2 separate regions of the Mus musculus genome follow, and region 1 is reported to be linked to region 2. The links are microRNA targets in miRTarBase. Many come from high-throughput screens and were not tested one by one. Region 2 holds a microRNA gene; the other region holds the end of a gene's coding sequence.
What was found. The annotated mature microRNA mmu-miR-3068-5p reads UUGGAGUUCAUGCAAGUUCUAACC and lies in region 2 at 2,166-2,189, shown strand. An mRNA with a match to its seed (bases 2 to 7 or 8) in the 3' UTR can be bound and repressed. Matches are read on the target gene's strand: a 7mer-m8 pairs with bases 2 to 8, a 7mer-A1 pairs with bases 2 to 7 and ends in A, and an 8mer does both.

Region 1 (3,401 bases), not on the chromosome of region 2:
TATGTACATGTTTACACGGGTGGACAAGTTCGTCCAGACAGGGCAGGCGCTGCCCCAGTGAGAGGCGGCCCCAGTGAGGGGTGGGGTCTTTCTGGGCAAGCTGTGGGCTCACAGTGAGCACAAGCAGGACCCACTGGCAACGAACTACGAAACGAACAAACCAAACACTAAGAGGAGGCCAGGCCCAGAGCCCAGACCAAGCCAGGAAACATGCCTACCACACCCTTGCTCCTCTCCACTCATCCTCCTGCCTCAGAGCTCCACCTCCCAGGGGAAAGCAGACTTTGAAAGTCAGCAGGAGGGAACCCAAAGGAGTCTGCTTTTCTCATGCACACCAGACAAATGACCTATGTATACAGGTGGGAAAGTTAAATAACACCAGAGACCAGCAACTACACAGTAGCTGTGTACACAGCCATCCCCTCAAACGTTTACGCTGTTGCTTCCTGTCTTAACGCTAGAGATACATGTCAGCCCACCACCTCCATGAAGAACGATCAAGGGCTGGCTTCTGCTCTGCCCACCTGACTACCAGACTCTACCGCTTTACCGCTGGATGGAAACGGTCCCCAACCTCAGTCAAGGACCCATGAGGGCAACCCTCCTCCTGCCCTCACAGAAACGGAAATCTTTACAGCAGCTAAGGTCCAGGCCCATCTGGCTCTGATAACCTTTGGTTAAAAAAATAACATAGAATAAAATAAAACCAAAACAATAATATCAATAACACACAATAATAATAACCAGAAGTGTATGAACCCTGTAACCTTTAAAAGAAGGATTGGTGAGAAAGGGGAAGAGAATAGTGAGGACAGGGGCTGTGTCTTTTCCCAAACAATTGTCCCTCCAAGTACCTGCACAGGGACCAATGGGAAACCCCTCCCCACATCATGGAAGACACACGTAAGAAAGGCCACCAAGTTCTGATAAGTTACAAGCCACCAACAAACACATCCTCTCTCCTCTCTATCCATACATAAGCCTACTATGTACACTGGCTCTAAGTGCAAAACAGATAATGGAACCACCTAGAGAGAAACAGAGGGATAAAGAGGAGGCTCGGGTACCACTATGGTTCCAGAGTCCTCTGCCCTTTACCACCCAGGCCTCAGAGGGCCATGGGTTCTGATCCCTGGGGACATTTTGTTCCTTTGAACTCCAGAGGAACCCACTGGGTCAATAAAAACAACATAGGCCATCAAAACCACTAGAGTGGACCCCAAAATAAGGAAAGAAATAAAAACAAAACCTGATTGTTGCTAGGCAAGTCGCCAGCTGCTCTCTGATAGACGGATGCTCTATCTTATGGCCCCTTACCTCAGGCCCCAGGGGAGCCTTGGGGAATCACTGGCTCAGCGTCCAGACAGATGGGTATGGAAAGCATGTATGAATGAGGACGGTCCTCACTTGAGGCTTCTCTCCAGTCATTGCCAGCCTGCCAGCAGCCATGCCACTCCCCCCCCCCCAACAAGGCTTTTTCCCCCCAGCCAGAGGGACAACGGAGGACCAAGACGGTACTGTGGAGGACAGAGTAGGTAGCAGGCCTGGCCTGTTCATACTTTCTCACAGAGAAATTACAACCATGGAACCTGGCAGGTGATTGGAGAGGCGGGAATGAACATCAAGTCATCAGGAAAATAAAAGACCACCACCCACCCCACCCCACCCCACAGAGGTCCCCAAGAAAACCATCAGTCCAGTGGGCCGGCTTGCAGAATGCAGGCAGGCCTTACCAGCAATCTGACTGGGACCACCCCCAAAGCCACCTCTGAACCTCAGAGGCTATGAGGGACTCATGCCAACCTTGGCCTCTCTCCCAGTTCCCAGAAGTCTGAGAGAGGGCCTGCCTTCCCCAATGATATAAGGCAAGCTGCTTTTAGGTTTTTTTGTTTGTTTGTTTTTTGTTTTTGTTTTTTGCATAGTTTAAACACAGTGAGGTTCTTCCTTCCCCCACAGTGCCTTTCCCCGATACATCGCCACTAGATCCAAAAGAAGAAGAAAAAAATTGGTCTTCCCTCCCTCCACTTCCGTCCACCACTCTATCCCTGGGTGAGAAAGTATTGACGACTCCTCCTCGCCCAGCTCTGGAGGTAACACAGTCTACTTCCTTGAGAAAGCAGACCACCGCAAGTCATCTTGGGACAGAGGGAGGGAGCAAAGCTCATGTCCAATCAGAGGAGCAGGTGGGAGGGAGAAAACCAAAAGCTACCACGCCTCCAGGCCCCACCCTCACCTTAGAGTTTTATATTTAAAAAAACACCTGCTAGGAAGAATTCTTTGGAGCTCAAAGTGGCTCAGCTTAAGGGAGAAGGCACAGTTGCACTGCATCGACGCACAAAAGTCTGCGTTTGTGGTGTGTGTGGGGACAATAGAAAAATCGACAGCACCATTCCATGGGTCGGTGGTGGAGGAAGGAAGGAAGCAGCGGTCCCGCTGGGCCTCCGGAGAAGGGAGGACAGAAGTCTGTGTCGAGGAGTGGAGCCCACACGGCTCAGTGGGGAGAGGAGGCTGGACCCCATCACCAAGACCACCAGGAGCGTCGGGCCTCCGTCATCAGCTGACCATGGGCTCCACATCCGCCTCCCGCTCCAGGTCTTCCTGGATTTCGTCTGTACTTCCTGAGTCACTGCTGGCCACGGAGCTGGGGGACGGTGAATTCCTGCATTAGAAACCAAAGCCTTTCAGAGAGCAGCCTGGGGGACCCTAACGGCCCAGGGCCCGGAGCTCTGGCCGGTCACACCTGTTAAAAAACCTACCCGAAGGGTCTGGGGTGAGCAAAACTTTTGCCTAGTATGCACAAGGCTCTGGGTTCCACTCTCAGCAACAACACAGTGGCGGCTACCCTGAGGGGCTCCTGCTGTGAGATCCCTGCAAGGCGCACTTTCTCCCAGTCCCTGTAGGTTCCATAAGCTGCCTAGGGCTCTTGGCATTCCTTGGGACCTCTACCCTAGCCACTGCTTACTGTAGCGTGTGGCTTCTCTTTGGGAGTGGGGGGTGGGGTGGTCGTGGGTATTCATTCTGTAACTTTCCATCATCCCTGGTCTGAGCACAAAGTGGTGCCCTCTGAAAACCCCAGGTAACAAAGCGATGCCCACTGAAAACCCCAGGTAACTGGGAAGAAGGAACCTCAGATAAGAAAACGCCTCCACCCACCGAGCATGGTGGCGCACGCCTTTAATCCCAGCACTTGGGAGGCAGAGGCAGGCAGATTTCTGAGTCTGAGGCCAGCCTGGTCTACAAAGTGAGCTCCAGGACAGTCAGGGCTATACAGAGAAATCCTGCCTCGAAAAACAGAAAAGAAAAGAAAAAAGAAAGAAAAGAAAAGGCCTCCATCAGACTGGCCTTCAGTCGTAATTAATGATTGGCGTCAGATCTCAGCCCGCTGCGGGTGATGCCACCCC
Region 2 (3,401 bases):
GTAGCTGTCTTCAGACACACCAGAAGGTGACATCGGATGCCCATTACAAATGGTTGTGAGCCACCATATGGTTGCTGGGAATTGAACTCAGGACCTCTGGAAGAGCAGTCAGTGTTCTTAACGGCTGAGCCATCTCTCCAGCTCTGTACGATGGTTATGAGCTGCCATGTTAGTGTTTGGAACCAAAACTGTCTCTGGAAGTGCTCTTAACTGCTGGGCCATATCTCTGGCCTAAGTTGAGAACATTTTTTATTACATATGGGGTGGAGAAGGGTATGTGCACATGCGTACTTAAAGGAGAGAAGAGTATATCAGATCTCTGCAGCTGGAGTTACAGACAAATGAGCCACATTCTGAACTAGACTGCCTAGAGGCATTAAATTGGGAGTTACTTCGAAAGTGTGCACTGGATCAGACATATTCTTAATCTTTTGGAAATGTTAGAATAGTATTTTCTTATGTGGGAGTGTGTGGTTTTGCCTGCACTTGGTCTGTGCACAACATGTGTACAGTGCTGGTCAAAGCAAGAAGATGGTTTCAGATGCTCTAAAATTGGACTTATATGCATTTATATGTTCAAGAAAGGTAGATTTGATGCCGAGAAACAAAATAGACTAATAACTAGTGTTCCATTTACTGGATGAATGTATGATTAATTAAATCCAGTGTTGGAGGTAGACTTCTGTATGCAAAAGTGACTTGGGGGAGTCTTGTGACTTATTGGGACTGGATTAAAAAAAAGTCTAAGGGTGAACTTTCAGTTCTGTTTTTTTGTTTTGTTTTGTTTTTTTGGCTTTTTTGAGACAGGGTTTCTCTGTGTAGCCCTGGCTGTCCTGGAACTCACTCTGTAGACCAAGCTGGCCTCGAACTCAGAAATCCGCCTACCTCTGCCTCCCAAGTGCTGGGATTAAAGGCGTGCGCCACCATGCCCGGCGAACCTTCAGTTCTGAAGTTGCTTTAGGATAGCACTGTTGACAGCTAACCTTGTAGATTATGTATTCCTCTTGAGAATGTCCCCAAAAGTCAGATATTTACACTGTCTCATGTTCGTCAGAAGTTGGTTTTTCATTAACTTTAAGTAGAAAGGATATGGGAAGTAAACAAGAGAATAGTAGGCATAAGAATACGAAAAAAGAGCCGGGCATGGCAACGCACACCTTTAATCCCAGCACTCGGGAGGCAGAGGTAGGCAGATTTCTGAGTTCAAGGCCAGCCTGGTCTACAAAGTGAGTGCCAGGACAGCCAGGGCTATACAGAGAAACCCTATCTCGAAAAACCAAAAAAAAAAAAGAATATGAAAAAAGAAACCAGAACAATTTCAACACACATACACCCATCTTTTGTCTTTTACAGGATTTATTTTCATTCCAAACCCCTTCCTCCCGGGATGCCAGAGGCACTGGGTAAAACAGTGCCTTAAGTTGTACTCCCAGAAACCTAATGTGTGTAACCTGGACAAGCACATGACTAAAGAAGAGACCCAAGGACTGTGGGAACAGAGCAAAGAGGTCCTAAGGTAAGCAGCTGTGTTGAGGTTTTTGCCCCCCCCCCCCCCATTTCTACACAGCACTGTTCTTTTGTTTCCCCAAGAACATTGGGACAGAGGATTTAACGGTTATATTAAACTGAGATCCACTTTGAATATTTTTATTGTAGCTTAGACACTGAGTTCGTCCACATTCATCATCACATGTTCTAATTCTGATTCAGGCATTTTTATATAAAGTATGTTCCTTTAAAGACTCATAGGAAGAACTTGGGTTTTACATGGAGTTGCTCACACTAGTTCTTTTGTGATGGGTCGGTTGTTGCTCATGGAAGAACTAGTGCCTGGATGTTGATGTTTCAGCATTCATTCCACAAATACTCATTGGAGAAATCAATTGGGTACCTAGGCATTGGAGACACAAAACTTTAGGATATGGACACTCTTTAATAGTGATTAGGAACTTGGGAAACCCAGGAGGAAGTAATTCTTCCAAACAGGGTGAATGTATCCAAGAAAAATTACTATTTAATGCTGTTTTTTATAATTGTATCTATTTTCTCTCTCTCTCTCTCTCTCTCACACACACACACACACACACACACAGATGGGCATATCCGTAGACCTTGCTTGACTCTTGTCTGTGGCCAAGCAAGGGGGACAGAGTATGCGAGAGTAATTGGAGTTCATGCAAGTTCTAACCAGCTTACTCAGTAGCTGGGTGAATTGCAGTACTCCAACATTCTGCTTCCATCTGCTCAGTTCTCATGCTGCAGGGTGGTGTTATTTAACCTGCTTGTTTATTTCCATTCTAAAAAGGAAGGCAAGAAAACACTTCCTGACTTCTATGATTTTTGTAAAAACATGAAGAAATAAGAACATTTAAGTAGATTCCTTGGCAGAATCCAGTGTAGAGTTTATACATGATCATGAGAGTGGTCACTCATGTGGCAAGGTTGGATTAACTTACAGAAGATGCTTCCTGGCAGTCACAGGTACAGTAGACAAACAGGAAGTGGGCATTTTAGGTAGAGTAGGACCAAACTGTACAGGGTTTAACACTCTAGAACAGCGGCTCTGGAGTCAGATTGCCTGTCTTCAGGTCCTTGCTCCTTCCATAGTAGCTGGGTAATCTTCAGCAAGTTCTTTAACATTTCCTTCCTGAGTGTTGTGAATATAGGTGAGAAATCCTTAGAAGATGCTTGGTGGCCATAAACTGTTAGCCTGATTCTAGGGGGGAAATAAAAGATAGTCTTATGTGGAGAGGGAAAGTGGTTTCCTTTAAAGCTTCCTTAGTCCATAATTTGAGGTACATGTAGGAGCCGTGAGGGAAACCTTCCCTGTTCTTCAGCTTTTAGTGCTTCCCTTAGAACTGAAGGCAGTGTAAGGAAGGGGTGACTGAATGAAATTACAGAGTGGTGGCGCACGCCTTTAATCCCAGCAGAGGTAGGCAGATCTCTGAGTTCGAGGCCAGCCTGGTCTACAGAGTGAGTTCCAGGATAGCCAGGGCTACATAGAGAAACCCTGTCTGGGAAGAAAAAGAAAAATAAAAGAGAAAGAAATTATGGTGCTTAATAGCACTAAACCAGCCTGTGTTTTCAAATAACTTATTCTTTCCTTCTGATATATGATTATAGAAATCTCAGCTGCGTTCTGAGATAGCTCAGATGAACCTCTAATAAATCAATCAATAGCCAATGGGGAATACTTTTCTGTCTATTAGCAAAAATAAAAATGGTGGTGGTTATACCTTATGTTGTCAAAGCCAGAAGAAATTAATATTCTGAGTCCTGGTGCTGTGTGATGTATGTCTCAGTGTTCTCACTGGGATGATCCGTCCAGGTATGTGGGTCATGCTGTGCTCCAGTGCTGTGAGCGGTACATGAGGTTCTCTCCACTCCCAAAGTCTGTAGCG

Region 1: the mRNA of Iffo2 is a reported target of mmu-miR-3068-5p. The part of its 3' UTR that is shown has no 7-base or 8-base seed match.

What each region holds. Positions count from the first base shown.
Region 1 is chr4:139,615,586-139,618,986 of GRCm38, reverse strand. Iffo2 (intermediate filament family orphan 2) reads right to left here. Exons shown (of 9, transcript NM_001205173.1): 9 at 1-2,659. The coding sequence ends at 2,554. Among named protein-coding and RNA genes, the nearest start is that of Aldh4a1, 5.6 kb to the left of the region's middle.
Region 2 is chr12:87,436,512-87,439,912 of GRCm38, reverse strand. Mir3068 (microRNA 3068) reads left to right here and starts at 2,156; the gene lies at 2,156-2,234. Alkbh1 (alkB homolog 1, histone H2A dioxygenase) reads left to right here. Exons shown (of 6, transcript NM_001102565.1): 3 at 1,354-1,516.